2 linked regions of the Elephas maximus indicus genome follow. The protein of the gene in region 1 binds, or shares a complex with, the protein of each later gene. Links are inferred from orthologs where the notes say so. Each region holds a gene or a part of one and is shown in the gene's direction. Other genes may lie near its edges. The genes, in order: NAA50 and NAA15.

Region 1 (8,094 bases):
ATCATATAGCTAATAAGTGGTAGGGCCAGAAACTGAACCCAGGTCTATCCCGCTGGGAAATCCATTCTGGTAAAGTCTGCACACTGTTGCTTTATATTTGCAGAACTTAGTTTCACACAGATTATAAGAGGTCTGTCTTGAACTCACAATACCCTTGAGAAGTAGGGCCTCACCCCCAACTTCACTTAAAAGGACCTGTAACTAAAGCTGAGTGAAGATTATCTTCTAGGCAAGTATTAGAACACTTGTACCATGTTCAGAGTCACTTTCTTCATTGAGTCCAACTCAGTCCTCTTCCCTTCCTTCCCATACCTGGATGATAACCACCTATATTAATAAACATATATGGTGTCAAAACAAGAAAATTCGTCACTGCATGAATAAAGTCCATTTGAGGATTGATCATTATTACTAATTTTTATTTGAAGGCTAATTACCTACTGTACAATCTTAGAAGGAGCTATGATCTGCCAAGTGCTAAAATGGTTTAATCTCCTTGTCCAACTCTCCAACACTCGTTCAATGAACAATTCACTGAGTACCTGTCAGGTCCCTGGGTGGCGCCAATGGTTTGCCCTGGGCTACTAACTAAAAGGTCCATGGTTCAAATCCACCCAGCCGCATTGAGAGGAAAGGCCTAACAATTTACTTCCAGCTGCTGAAAACCCTATGGAGTGCAGTTCTCCTCTGACATACAAGTAGTTACCTACCAGGAGTCAAAATCGACTCAAGGGCAACAGGTTTAGCTTTTCTTTTTTTTTTTGATCAGGTACGTTAGCATTCTGGTGCTAAAGTCACAAAAGTAAAGACACTATCCTGGAACACTTAGGCGCTTTATGGTTTAGTGAGGAACGGCCCAGTTAAGCTATTATAGAGGAACAGAAAACACTACATAGCAGTCTATAGGGCTTAGTGAATAGCTCTGCCCACGGGGGTGGGAACAGCATTCTTGGTGGTGGTAATTCCCAAAGACAGTGAAATTCCAGACTTCAGAGTAAGACCACAAGAGTTATTAAACTCCTGTGTGCCATTTAATGTCAGACTGCAGCACAATTCCCGTTTCTAATGAACGTGAAGATTTCTGTGTGTAACACTCACAAGCTAAGCCTCAGAAATGTCTTCCAAGCTCCAAATGACTAGTATGTTTGTGTGTGTGCGTCAACTGTGTACGTCAAAAACTCTTTTTCACATTCAACCTTAGCAACAACTTACTCACCGATTCCCACTGCTACTCCCCAGGTTCTTTAGTGGTTTATATTACTGCTTTCATAAAACCAAAAAATGAAACCTATTGCCGTCAAGTTGATTCCAACTCATAACAACCCTACAGGACAGAGTAGAGCTGCCCCATAGGGTTTCCAAGGCTGTAATCTTTATGGAAGCAGATTGCCACATCTTTTCTCCTGCTGAGTAGCTGGTGGGTTCGAACTGCTGACATTTAGATTAGCAGCCAAGCACTTAATCACTGTGCCACTAGGGCTCCATTACTTTCATAAGTTCCCTAAAATTTGGGGAATTGTGAAGTAAAATTGCAGACTCATTCAACCTCTTTCATATTGATACATTTTCTTCCTCTAGTACTCAAAGGTTTTAGCTGATTTTCTCTCTCCCGTTTTGGACTCATCCAGACAGGACTGGTTTGAACCTTCCAGACCACCTAAGGAATTCTCTTCACTTGGTGGAATGTCACCTGAGCAATAAAGTAACACTTTATTCTTTTCTGTCCTCTACAGATCAGGGAAGTCTCAATCTGCAAGAAATTAACGGATAAAACTATACACTGGTAGCAAGCATGGCTAGGAGTCCCTGGCAATCTGCTTCTGAGTGGTCACAGCCTTGAAAACCCTATGGAGCAATTCTACTCTGCACGCATGGGTCGCCATGAGTCAGAACAGGCTTGATGGCCACTAACCACCACAGAGATTAATTGAGTGTAAACAGCAGGCACAGCTACCTAAGCATATCAGTAGACAAATGCTATTGTCCAATACAGGTGCCAACTACAAAATGCTAGAATTGTATATACCCAAGGGACAACAGAGGTCTTCTTTATAACTTGGAGAAAATCTGGTGCTATAGAGTCAAATTCTGACTCATTGTGACCCTACAGGACAGAGTAAGGTTTCCAGGGCCGTCATCTTTATGCAGGAGCCCTGGTGGCTAACCAGGCTGGTGGCTAGCCTGAGTGCCTAACCACTGCACCACCAGGGCTCCTTAACCAGGAGAAAAAAGTAAGATCTTCAAGGTTATGTTTTCTAGTAAGGAGCTTTTCTATTTTGAACTTACTCTAACAACATTTTATGAAATTGCTATTATTCAAAAATTTTAATTAACTTTTTGTTGCTCTTAACAAAATAAGACCAGTTTATGGCAGAGAACTTGGAAGTTACAGAAAAACAAAAATCGGGTCAGTCACATCCACCACACAAGGACTCTGCCCCTCCTCACTTTTCAGCTGTCCTTTGAGTCACTTACATTGGTTTGAAAGCTACCGGATTTAACTGAGAATATGGATTTTTCAGACAAAGAAACAGTGTCAGTTAAAAAAAATTAAACTTGTAGTTTTCCGAAGGCCTGTCGATTTAAAAGGACCAAGGCGCTTTCTGAGTTTGCAGGACAAATAAAGGCTTTTAACCTCAAACTGAAAAGCACTGTTCCCTGAAGCACAGTGTTTGGGGACAAAACATTGCCTACGACATTCCATGTGAAATGGGAGTACGCTGGTTGGGCAAACACCTAGGCAAAACAATTCCTGTATTTTCACAAAATACCATTATTAAAACCTGACCAGGTCACCTCGAGTTGTACATATGGGGAAAGCTAAGAAAGGATACAAGGGTTACTTCATTAAAATGACCACAACACTGGTCAAGGAATTGATGAGGAGTAGCAATTATACAGAATTTCAGGGACAAATGACAAAAGAGAAAGATGTCAAAAGGCAAGTAAAACGCAGTCAGCAACATCTTGACTTAACCTTCCTACCTTTAAGTCCACAGTCAAATAAGCTTGGTTTAATTATATTCCATTTTCAGCCCCACCAGTTTCGGAAGGTTCCCCTTCCAGGGAAACCTTTTCCCATAGGCTGGCGTGAGCTTCCTACACACCACGACGTTGCAACACCATCTTTCAACACTTCTCCGTTCAATTGAGACTGCCGCATTACCATCATCTCCTTTTGAGGCTACCCATTACCGGTCCGGTCGATACCGGCTCACAGCAACCCTACAGGACAGGGTACAACCGCCCCGGAGGATTTCCAAGGCTGTACATCTTTACGGAAGCAGACTAAATATCACATCTTGCTCCTGCTAAGGGGCTGGTGGGTTTGAGCTGCAGCAGGGCTTTCGGTTAACAGCCGAGCACTTAACCACTGCGCCACCAGGGCTCCTGTTTTGAAACTAATGTATCTTTTTTTTTAACCGTCCTCCCTCCCTACCTGCACCATAAAATCAGAGAAGAGAAAGATCAAAACTTGCTTTTATCCTTCCAGTCCCACCCAAAGCACGTGAAAACCTATAGAACCTCTCCCGCAGGGATGGCAGATAAAAGCCTCAAAATTACAGAGAAATCACATTCAAAAGGCAGGGTCTTCAGTGACTCCGCAGTTGAGAGCCATACCAGTGACATCCCCTCCCAAGCCGGTCTCACCGGAGACGCCTCTGCCTCCAGGGCTTCTCCTACTTCCTCTCTTAGCCAGCTGAGGGTAAAGCCGATTCAAGACCTTCGCCCAATGCTGGGTTTTGGGTCCTGGGACCCGCGGCGGCTACAGCAGACCCCGAAGAACGGCTGAAGCAATCCCAGTGCCAGAAGCCTCGAGGACTCCCGATAAGAAACCCTAAGGCTGCCCTCATCCTCAACCCCGGGCAAGGTGGACATGGCAACCCCAGGTAGTGGGGGCGGCCACAGTGGACAGAGGGGATCAGGAGAGCTGGCGGAGCAGGGGTGACAGCGCGGAAAAAAGCCCCGGGCACCGAAGGCTGCCGTTCGCGCTCCCCTTCTCCCTCCTTCCTTCCCACCTAGTCGCCCGTTACCCGTCACCACTCACCTGCCGGGCCCGAGGCGCACAGACCAGTGCCGACCACCGACCCGCGGGCTCTGTCACTGCGGGAGGGGAAGTCTTCAGCTGCAGAGCGGGGCGGGGCTAGCCCGTCACGTGACCCAAGCCCCGCCCCGTCGCCCCCACCCGCGAGCGCCGCAGCTCGGAGGCCTGTATTTTTGCAGATTGTTTGAATGTGACTTTTCTTGCGATTAAAAAAAATAATAATAAACAAAAATTTTCAGTAATATCGTGTTGTAAGTGCAAAGGCGGAAGCCTGGGTGGCACGGGTTAAAGGGCATTGCCAAGGAAGTGACGTCACGCCACGATCTCGGGACCGGAAATGGCGATGGAGTTCCGTCCTTCTGGGGCCCGCCGGTAAAATCCCAGGCCGCGAGGTTTGAGCCAATCACGTGATTTCGAAACGAGAGTGCTGGGTGGATGCCAAGTTATCTGGCCGCTTGTTAATTACGTTTCCTTGTTTTACAAGCGCCTCATTTACTTAAGCTTCCCCACGGACTTCTTTACATTTATTAGAACCGCCTGATAAAATCCCATTAGGAGACAGGGGCATTTGAAGGTCACTCCGGAGACTACCCATTGAGAACAGGGTCGGGGAAGAGCGAGCTTGTGGAAGCGGGAGAGGCGAGGGAGAGGTGGAAAAATCTGGATTTGACCGCCCGGGCCTACAGGCCAAGCCCACAAAGAGCGGCGTAAGGAGTGGGCGGGGGAGAATGACGTAAGAAGGCGTAGCCCAGTCGAAAGATGGAGGGCCCGCGAGGGGTTCTGGGTGCGCGGCGGCGCGCGGTGCGGCTGCGCGCGAGGCGGTGAGCGCGCCTGCGCGAGGGCTGTGAGCGCGCCTGCGCGCCGAGGGGCGGGGTGAAAGGTCACGGCGCGACGGCGGGTCTGGCTGGCGGCGGCGGGCTGGAGCCGAGCGCCCGGTGTGCACGTGCGGAGGAGCAGCGGCCCGGCGCGGCGGCGGCGGCAGACCCAGGGCCGCGGTCGCCTCTCGCGGCCTCCGTCACCCGCTCAGCTCCCTGCCTCAGGCGAGGAGGCAGGCTGGTGGGCTTGAGTGGCCGAGCCGAGGGCGCGGAGAGCTCAGGGCGGCGGCGACGGCGGCGGTGTTGGCGTCGGCGGTAACGACGGCCTCAGCAGGCGGGGAAGATGAAAGGGTGAGGAAGGTAGCGGCGGAGGCCGGGCCTCGGGGCGCCGCCGGGGGGCGGAGGCAAGGTTCTCCGTGTTGGCGGGCTCGGGAGTCGGCGGGGGAAGCCGCGGGGGCCCAGGCCCTCGGCCCGGAGGACGAGTGTGGCTTGGCGGGGCAGCAGGGAGAAGGGGTCGTGGGGCGCCGCGGCCCCCTCACCCGGAGCGGACTGCCGAGCCGCCGGGCTGGGCCGGACGCGCCGATCCAGGTGGCTGGTGGATCGTCCTCCGTATCCGGGCTGGTCCCGGACACCTCGTGCGTTTATCCGCACCTGAGAGGCGCGCAGAACCTTCTGGAGGGAGGGGGCATGGGAGTAAGAAGCGTGGAGGCGAGAATGAAGACCTGGTGACTCAACTGGATTTGGGCTGGGTCAGCGCGAGGGGAGGCGGGGGAGGCGCGCAAGCCGGGCAGACTTGGGGTGCAGAGGTGCTTCAGGAAGCGGGGTTGGCCAGCAGGTGGGGCTGTGGCTTCAGGAGTCCACTGCGGTCCCTGCTGGGGGTTCACTGTGGCCCCTGCTGGGGGGGGTCCTGGGCTGTTGCTTCAGGAGTTCACTGTGGCCCTTGCTGGGGGGGGGGGTCCTGGGCTGTGGCTTCAGGAGTTCACTGTGGTCCCTGCTGTGGGGGGGGTTCTGGGTTGTTCCTTCAGGAGTTCACTGTGGTCCCTGCTGGGGGTTCACTGTGGCCCGTGCTTGGCGGGGGGGGGGGTCCTGGGCTGTTGCTTCAGGAGTTCACTGTGGCCCCTGCTTGGGGGTGGGGGTCCTGGGCTGTTGCTTCAGGAGTTCGCTGTGGGCCGTGCGGGGTGGGGTCCTGGGTTCCTTCAGGCGTTCACTGTGGTCTCTGCTGGGGGTTCACTGTGGCCCCCGCTGGGGGGGTCCTGGGCTGTTGCTTCAGGAGTTCACTTTGGCCTCTGCGGGGGAGGGGGGGTCCTGGGTTATGGTGCGCTCTTCAGGTGGTTGGCCAAGCTGATGTGTTTTCCGTTCCTGTCCTTCTACAGTTTTTCTCTCTCAGATAAAACTCAGGGTTATTTTGGTTCTCCACTTTCTCTCGTTGGATAAAATGTCTCCTCCATTAAGTTTTATGCTGTTAAAAAATACCAATTGCATAATAGTGTGCCTGTTTGGAAACGTGGTCTAGATTCGCTGTTTCGGAGCTGGCCCTCTCTACCCTCCTCAGAGGAAGAAAGAGAAGTTTGTAAGTGTGAAAAGCTTCCCGGGATGCCTGAGTTTATTTTTTCTCGGAGCAAATCAGTGAAAGAATTGTAATGTGTTTTGCATTAGTGGAGCTTTTCAGACTGTTCAGGAGCCGTTGGAGGAATGACTGTAAATGTCTGTCTTCTAAGGAATCTCGTATAAAATCTTTAAAGCTTGGACATCATGAAGAAATTGTCACAGGCCCTGCATTACAGGTTTTCCAGCTCTCGAGAAGGGGAGCATTCCCAGGAAACTTTTCATAAGCCGAAAAGGCATAAAGCAAAGGAGCAGTTCTCATTAATTTATGGAGAAAAAGTTTTTGAGCGTTCCCAGACCCAAAGAATAACCTACCAGATCGTACCTAGTAACATGTAGAATCTAAAATGGCAGTAACACGCAGTAAAGCGGGAATGATGTGATAAATAAATACACAGCCTGTATACAGCAGAAGTGACGTGTACACCAGACTGGGAAGACAGCAAGCACCCTGGAAGGCTGAGGTGGTGCTGGTGATGGGAGCCCTCTTAATCCTAGCTAGCAATGGCACACGGGGCTGGGTTGAAGGGCTGGGGTTCAGATCCCCCAGAAGAGCTGGATTTGTACTAACCGCACGTGTGGAAGGATGTGCCCTACACTTAGAGAAATGCACAAGCGGCAAGTCGAGGATGGGATCTCGCTGTGAATGGTACGTTTATACCGCACCAGGCATTCCATTGGATGTGGCTGGGCAGTGCAAGACAAACTTAGAACGCTGCTTCTGCTTTTCGCCTTTTTTTGGAAAAGCGAAAATGTCTTCACATTTCATTAAGTGAATGAAGACAGGTGCTAAGTAAGGTCTTTCATAAAAGCAAAGTGGCGTAAAGCAAACTTTTGAAAAGCAAGGGGTACCTGTCTCTCACACACCGTGGTAAAGAGTTCTAATCAGGAAACTAATTGAGGGGCATAGGAAATGTTGGCTGCCCTTGAATCATGATCTACGAAGTTAGGCTGTTTTATGTATGATCCACAATAACGTTGGGAGAATTTGTTTTTCTTAGTAAACTGGGCATTTTGAGTGTGGGTGCTGTCTCATTCGTTTTTGTATTCTCATTGCCAGACATATTTATCTTCTGTTAATTAAAATGGGGCCAGAGAGTTCCCAGCGTGAGACTGCCACAGATTAGTAAAAGGAGGACTCTAAGAAGTCATTCTGAATGTTTAGATACAAATTCTTTGCTCTATCTCAGACTCGCTAGGGTATAACATTATTTTTGATACCTAACTTGGCAATGGAATCAACTCGACGGCACTGGGTTTTTGGGTTTTAACTTGGCAATAGATGTGACGAAACAGTATTATTCATATTCTATTTTCAATTAATATAAACCCGCAAAGCAATTGTTCTGTTATTTAAAACGGATACTTAGGTGTAAGAGCCTGCTAGTCTGATGGGCCAGATCCCCCAAAACGAGTAACTGGCCAAATTTAGAGGAAACTCATAGTCACTGAATCCTGTACCTCAGGACAGAAGCTCTACTTGACGTGGAGAGTCCTTAAGCCCAGTTCCTAGGCTTTTTACGTCCTAGAGTTTGAGATCTGTTAGGAGACTTTTGTATTGAGGTTGCTTGTTTTTATGAATGAGGAACATGACTAATTGGGAGCCTAGAATTGTGTCTTCAACTGTAA
Region 2 (7,590 bases), on another chromosome or scaffold:
GCGCTGAGTCAGTGGTTGCTTCTCAACTTCTTGGCTTCTTGTCCACTCAGCAACCTATCAGCTGTATATCCTTTTTACACCATCCTTCATGAGCTTGTCCTAACAAAGCTTTCGCTATTATCCAACAAGTTGAAACAAAAGCCGTGGTTACTCAGAGTACACAGAACGAGAAAGCAAATTACTAATTTCAGTACTGCTGTTGGTAAAGACTGTTTTGTTCTTTTTTAGAGCTTTGGTCCCTATATCCTTTTACTAGTGTATATTTTTGGAAAGTGATGAAGTATGACTGCCTTTCTCTCAGCATGTTAGAGCTGATGGAACCCTACACTTGGAGCAGGCAGCTGTACATGACACTCCATCTTGAAAAGAGTCCTAATGAAGCAATTCCAGTCAGGAACTAATAGCTGTATTTTGGCAGAAGTTGCTTCATGACATTTGTTTAAACATCTCTAGGATTTGAATGTTATAACCTTATTTATGACCTAGGCAAAGGCAGAGAGCATTGAGTTAAAAAAAATTTTTTTTGTTTTTTTTTTTGCAGCTAGAAAACCCAAGTTTAGTCCCTATTTTTCTGCTGGGAAACATCCTACTCGGCTCACACTTCCCAGGGAGAGTTTTAAAGGGCAAGAATTGAAAACAGTACCACATGCAGAGTTAAAAAAAAAAAAAGTACAAAACCACTATATACATTGTTTATTGATTTATGATTCATGAAACTAATACAGATCAAAATCAGGCTCTGAGAAGTATGGAGCTCCCAATGTATATACAACTAAAAAAAAGATGAAGTAATAGCGAAATGTTAATATTTGTTAAATCCTACTGGCAAATACATTTCTTTGACATTGTTTTTCTCTAAAATTTAAATAATTAGGCCGTAAAAGTGTCAACTGAGAGCATCTTACATATATGAAGGTTTTTCTTCAGTGGAAAAGTTATACACTGTGTATTAATTTTGTAGAATTAAAGCTTGCAAGGTAAATGATTTTTTTATTTGGAAGAGGCATTTTGACCATAAAACCTGCTGCCATCAAGTCAATTCCGACTCATAGTCATAGTGACCCTAAAGGATAGAGGAGAACTGCCCTGTAGGGTTTCCAAGGAGTAGCTAGTGGATACAACTGCCAACCTTTTGGTTAACTGCTGAGCTCTTAACCACTGTGCCACCAGGGCTCTGGGATTTTGACAAGAGTGATATGCAAATACACGGGGTGGGATGAAAGAACTAATCATTTGGCCTTGGATATGTTAACTTCCTACATAATATCATTCACAGCATAACTCAAGTTAAATGGGATTTCCATTTGTCAAACAGTGGTGATCAGAGTAGATATTTATTGTTGATTGCAGGCTATCAAGTCACTAGACTGTGTGGTCAGGCTGAGATTATCTGTGGGCGCATTTTAACTAGAATATGAATCAGATAAATGTTGAACCAGATTAGCATTCTAATCTGGTCCTAAAAATTGCTATTATCATCCAAAAAGAATAACATTTGCCAAACTGTATTACTGACTCATCTATTCAGGTACTCAACTTCTGGTAGAAACTACAGTTTGTTTCAAAGGCCAGGAATTCTCTCCCTACAAAGGGGAAAATATTATACAGGAGAAATTTCAAAAAACATAGCAAGTAATATTGGTGTAAGAATTTTTGGATATGAAGCCAGAGATTTGGAAACCCAAATTAGTAGCTAAGCTAAAATTATCACCTGTAGTTGAAACATTTTTCTAACTTATAATAATTCAGATACATTTGACTGAAAGTTCTCTTGGGGGCAGTGAAGTTTGCAGCTTATCACTAAATTGGTGTTGTGTGTCATCTATTCAATTCAATAGCGGCCCTATATAACAAGAGTACAACTGACCCGCAGGGTTTCCTATGCTGTTACCTTTATGGGAGCAGATCGCCAGGTCTTTTCTCCCACCAGAGTGAACCGCTGACCTTTCAGTTTACAGCCAAGTGCTTAACCATTGAGCGACCAGGGCTCTTTATCACTTAATAAATGCCAGGACAAGATGGGACATGGGAGGGAGAGGAGCCAAGAAAAGGAAACAGGGAAAGAGGGGCTTCCAAGGAGCTGCCAGAGCAGTTGTTGTTCGTTGCCAGCTAGTTGATTCTAACTCATGGCAATCCCATGTGTGCAGAGTGGAATGGCTCCATAGGGTTTTCAAGGCTGTGACTTTTGGGAGCACATCACCAGGTTTGTCTTCCAAGGCACCTCTGGGTGGGTTTAAACTGCCAATCTTTTGGTTAGCAGTTGAGCATTTAACTGTATGTGCCACACTCAGGCTCCTACAGACCAGTTAGTGACTACTTCGTTCCCCCATAAGAGCCCCCAGCATAATGCAACCCCTTCCTCAACCCCATCAAAGTGAACTGGAGCTCACAACTCAAGAGCCCAGAACAAAAAATAAAAAAAGTTGAGGGTAAATATGTATAGTATGATTCCATTTATGTAAAAAAAAAAAAAATCCTCAGAACAAAACACAAACTGGCCATATTCTAAAACTCAAACATGGTTTGTGTAGATTTAATCTTCTTAATGAAACTTTTGAAGAGAAATGACAAAATTCAGAGAAATCCCACGATTTGAATGTTAAAATCCTATGACCCAGGCAAAGGGAGAGGGCATTTGAGATAGCAGCTAGAAAACCCAAGTTTTAGTCCCATATTCTTACTCAACTCACACCTTCAAGGGAAGATTAGAGCAAATTGAAAATCCAAACCAAACCCGTTGCAGACGAGTGGATTCCAACTCAGCGACCCTAGAGGACAGAGCAGAACTGCCTAATAGGGTTTCCAAGGAACGGCTGGTGGATTCGAACCACCAAACTGATCACCATTTAGTTAGCAGCTCAGCTCTTAATCACTGCGCCACCAGGACTCCAAGGTTAAAACCCAAAACACCAAACCCGTTGCCGTCAAGTTGATTCGGACTCATAGCGACCCTATGGGGCAAAGTAGAACTGCCCCATAAAGTTCCTAAAGAGCACCTGGTGGATTCAAACTACCCACCTTTTGGCTAGCAGCCATACCACATAACCACTATACCACCAGGGTTCCCAAGTTGAAAACAGGTCTATGTAAATAAATAAAAGGCAAAACCACTACATGTATTTTTCATTGTCTTGATGCAAAGAAAGCTATAGATCAAATTCAGGATTTGGAAAAAGATAATCAAAAGCCAAGGGTAAAAATGATGTGAAAAAAATGGAAATAACCAAAGAAATGCCACTTTGATCAATATTTTACTGCCAGTTGTTCATGAAATGGCATCTACACATTGCTTATATAGAATCAATAAAAGGGATCCTATTCAGTATCTAATCTGACCTCGTTAATACTGGTGGCGTAGTGGTTAAGACTTAAGGCTGCTAACCAAAAAGTTAGCAGGTCAAATCCACCAGGTAGGTGCTCCTTGTAAACCTTATGGGAGCAGTTTTTTTCAGTATCTAATCTGACCTCGTTAATACTGGTGGCGTAGTGGTTAAGACTTAAGGCTGCTAACCAAAAAGTTAGCAGGTCAAATCCACCAGGTAGGTGCTCCTTGTAAACCTTATGGGAGCAGTTCCACTCTATGCTGTTTGAATTGACTCCATGGCAAGGGGGTTGTTTTTTTGTTTGTTTGCTTTAGTCTGACCTTGCCCCTGCAGTTCTGCTCTCTAGTATCCTTGCCAGATACTCATCAGGATTCTGGTGGTGAGGAGTTCAACTCGGCACTAGCTTGAGGCCAGCCAGTTCCAGAGGAGTCAATGTCGCTGAGCTCTCTACTACCCAAAGTACCGCATACAGTCCGCCAACACTGCACTGTATGGCCTCAACGTGCAATAAAAACACCTGCTATCAACTTCAAGATCGCTGAGTCGGAGTCGACTCGAGGGCAACGGGTTTGATTTTTTTGGTTTTTAACGTTCAGAAGCTCCTTTGAAAGAGCAAATATGGCACGTAGGATCTGGCTAACTACCTCTCTAGGCTCATCTTAAGCAATATTCGCCAAATCAACCATACTCATTTAATCAGTCAAGCTCTTTCACACCCTTCAGACTCTACTTAAGCCCCTTTCCCTTGACATCTGTTCACAAGTCCCACTGCGTTGACGCCTTCTCCATTTCCCCTCCGTCCGTGCTCCTTAAATATGCACTTTCACGTCCACAGCTCTTCTTAAACACCTGCGTTTTAGCTAGCACTTACGGCTCACATTCGGATCCCACAGTCTGGGAGAGTCTACCTAACGAATGAGAGGCCAACCTAGTGCAGAATGGCTATTTTTCATGTGAAGGCGGTCGCAACCGGAGTTAGCCCCTGCCCTTCTCTCCCCCGGCTCGTCCGGACATTCGGCACCAACAGGACGTGCTGAGCCCGCGGCGACCCTCGGGCCCCCCGCCCTCAGGCCGGCGTCCAGGTTTCCCGGCAAGCTCCAGGGCAGAAGAGGTGGGGCAAGGAGGTCATCGCGCCTGCGTGCTAGGAGGCGTGACCCGGGTGGGAAAGCCCTCTGCGTCCGCCATTTTGGCTGCCTCTGTCGGTCTGTTCAGTTACCACGTGAACCGCCGACAGAGACCCGTGGGGCGGGGGGAGGCGGCAGCAGCGTTAAGTGAGAAAAGGAAAAAGACAGCGACGGGAAAGGGGTGTCCGGTTAGGGCGACGTGGCGATACCCAAGGCTTAGGGGCGGCGGCGGATCGTGGTATTCTAGGCTGAAGCAACCAAGGAACGGCGGCGGCGGCGGCGGTCGGACAAACAGCCTGACCGAGCCGGGTGGTGGCGGGAGCAGCGGGAGGAGCCGGAACGATGCCGGCCGTGAGCCTCCCGCCCAAGGAGAACGCGCTCTTCAAGCGGATCTTGGTAAGTGCGAGGCTCCGGACAAGCAGTGGGTAGGGTTTAGCTCGAACCCGGCCCTGTCACTCCTAACATCGGCCCGGCGGGCACCGAGCCACCCCGTCGGGACTCCGCCTTCGGACTCCTAGTCCGACCGAAGGCACTCCCTCGTTGCCTCCCTCTGGATCCCACTTGGGCCCCCGCGCTGGCACCACAGGCTACCCTGTCGTCCCTTCGCTTCGGGGGCCCTGGTTCTAGACTAGGCCCGACCTACCGGCTTCTAGAGTGCCGGCTTTCCTCGGCTGCGGGCGCAGATCGGCGCCGCCCGGCCTGGAGCTGGGCAGCGGGCGGCACGGACAGGAGCCGCGGCCCGGGTGGTGCGGGAGCCCTGCCACCAGGCCGGGGCATCCGTGGAAGGAACAGGTGGCGCCGACGCAGCGCGGCTCATTCATTGCCTAAGCGCGGCGCTCCCTGGGTCGTCCCTCCCTCCCTCTTCCCTTCTCTTGGGATTCACCTGTCCCCGCCCGGCCGGGTCACTGAACGAGGTGTGAGGGGAGGAAGGAGTCCAGCGGAGGAGGGGAAGACTCGCGAATGACTGCCTCCAGCAGTTGGTTGCACACTTCAGACTGCTGCTCCTTGGCCTGTCTTGTTCCCTCCTTTCTGGAGTAAGGGAAGAGCATTTATTTCTTAGTTTCCGAGCGGGAAACAGCCGCACCCCATCACCCCTCGGGAGGTGGGGCCCATCGCGAGGGGGCGGTCCGGTAGGAAGTAAAAAGTTATCAGTCTTTAGTACTAGACACAGACTTTTCAAGTGTGTAACGCTGGGGAGAAAACTTAGCATCAGAGAAAAGAGAATGTGAGAACTTTTGCGATGGAGCTTGTTTAGTTAGGCTAGCTCAAACATATTTCCTACCTTTCTAACATGTTCAGTTTGCCTTTTTAAAAAAACCTTTAACGCAATGATGTTTGGAGGACTGTTAACATTGTCGTGTGGCCTGTAGCCTTGGCGCTATAATTAATACATTGTAGCATGTTTTTTGGCATTTTAGCGTGTGGGTTGCCCTTTTCATGCAAACATTTTTTTAATGAAAGAATTAACTGTATTTGCGCAGCTTAAGACTTAAAATTTGGGGCGTGTGTTATAGAAGTGTTAGTTTTCTCTCCTATAATTAGAATTTATTTTATTTGTTTGAAAAAAATGGAAGTACTTTGGGGATTCAGTTTTCCTACAAATAAAAAAGTGATCTATGTCGAACTTTGTTATTACAAAAATATCCATGTGCCCAATATATCTAGTTAATTCATGTTGAAAAACATGAGCAAGTCATGTCTAAAACTGTGTAACTCTTGATTAACTTGAAATCCTTATTTTTTCTTTTAGGACTAAGTGGAGTGTAGGTGGAACTGTTGCATAGTTTTACAACATCAGTTTATTTACTTTTAAACATTTTAAAAGACTAATTGACTAATTGGTGTGTAGGACTATTTAGGATAGCTTTAGGAATTTTTAGGATAGCAATTTATCTTTAATCTCCTCCAACTCTTTATATTGAAAAAATTCAAACTGAAAAAGGAAGAGTGCAAGGAACACTCATAAGTCTTTTACCTAAGTTTAATAAACATTTTGCCATATATGCTTTCTTTCCTTATATATGTAAAACATATAAGGTGCAGACATAATACTTCATCCCATAATATTTTAGCAAACTTCTCCTAAGAAGGACATTTTCCTGTTTAACTGTAGTACCATTAACAATTATTCCCTGTATTGCCTAATATCCAGTTGGTATTCAGATTTTCACATTTGTTTGGGTAGCACTTTTTTAAAATAAAACTATTGCAATAGTTGTACATTCATACATAGTCATAAGAAATAATATCTTTTAATCTTTACCCAATTCCCCCCAATACTGATGCCTTCCAAAACCGTAGTTCAATGTCACAACATTGATACAATCTACCAAATCTTATTCAGATTTCCCCAATTTTACTTGTGCTCATTTGTGTGTATTTAGTTTTGTGCAGTGTTATCACATGTAGATTCTATACCCACCACTGCCACAATCAAGATACATATAACAGTTCATTCGGCTCAAGAATCCCTGTGTTGCCTTTTTAGAACCACAACCACCTCCCTCCCACTCCCTTTGCCCCTCAACCTCTGGCATCCACTAATCTGTTCTCTATTTCTATAATTTTGTCATTTTAAGAATGTTTAATAAAAGGAATCATACAGTATATAACTTTTTGGAATTAGCCTTTTTTTATTCAACACAATTGCCTTGCACTTCACCCAGGTCGTTGTCAGTATTGATAGTTTATTCCTTTTTATTGCTGATTAGTAGTCTCTGATATGGATGTACCACAGTTTGTTTAACCAGTCATAGGGTAGCAAGTTTTGATTAAGCATCTAAAGCAATAATTTTAGTTGTGAAGGAGGGTAAAAGCTTTAAATTCCTTGCTAAAATCAAAGTGCTAAAAAATTTATTGTGATAAAAAAAATTTATTGTGATAAGGCATATGCAAAAGATAAAGAAGTTCTGAGAAATTTGAAAATCAGTAAATGAAGAAAGGGGAATATAATGTCCTTATTGATCTCTTACATTAGAAATGAAGAAAATGTTACTAACCGAAAGGATAGTTAGCATTTGCTTTTCTGAAAGCTTCTGCTTCGTCAGCTTTTATAGTAATTTGTTATGTTTTTAAGCTCCCCCCCGCCCAATAATCAGAAAAACTGGACATACCCTGTTGTTTGTTGTTGTTAGGTGCCATCA

What was found.
Region 2: the proteins of NAA50 (region 1) and NAA15 are in contact, whole or in part, in a cryo-EM structure (PDB 6PPL), measured with the Homo sapiens proteins. The link is inferred for Elephas maximus indicus from reciprocal best matches to the Homo sapiens genes NAA50 and NAA15. Residues at the interface, in NP_079422.1 of Homo sapiens: Arg5, His14, Asn15, Lys17, Gln18, Arg21, Leu22, Val25, Phe51, Asn52, Ile54, Ala55, Leu80, Pro82, Tyr83, Leu86; in NP_476516.1 of Homo sapiens: Pro369, Pro370, Thr371, Leu374, Ser403, Thr404, Pro405, Thr406, Leu407, Ile408, Phe411, Glu433, Ala436, Leu437, Asp438, Thr439, Ala440.

The regions. Positions count from the first base shown.
Region 1 is NC_064819.1:2,646,319-2,654,412, reverse strand, and holds the start of NAA50 (N-alpha-acetyltransferase 50), read left to right. Parts: upstream 1-4,904; 5' UTR 4,905-5,203; coding exon 5,204-5,211; intron 5,212-8,094. UniProt on the Homo sapiens protein: N-alpha-acetyltransferase that acetylates the N-terminus of proteins that retain their initiating methionine. Has a broad substrate specificity: able to acetylate the initiator methionine of most peptides, except for those with a proline in second position.
Region 2 is NC_064823.1:3,977,856-3,985,445, reverse strand, and holds the start of NAA15 (N-alpha-acetyltransferase 15, NatA auxiliary subunit), read left to right. Parts: upstream 1-4,493; 5' UTR 4,494-4,789; coding exon 4,790-4,843; intron 4,844-7,590. UniProt on the Homo sapiens protein: Auxillary subunit of N-terminal acetyltransferase complexes which display alpha (N-terminal) acetyltransferase (NAT) activity. The NAT activity may be important for vascular, hematopoietic and neuronal growth and development.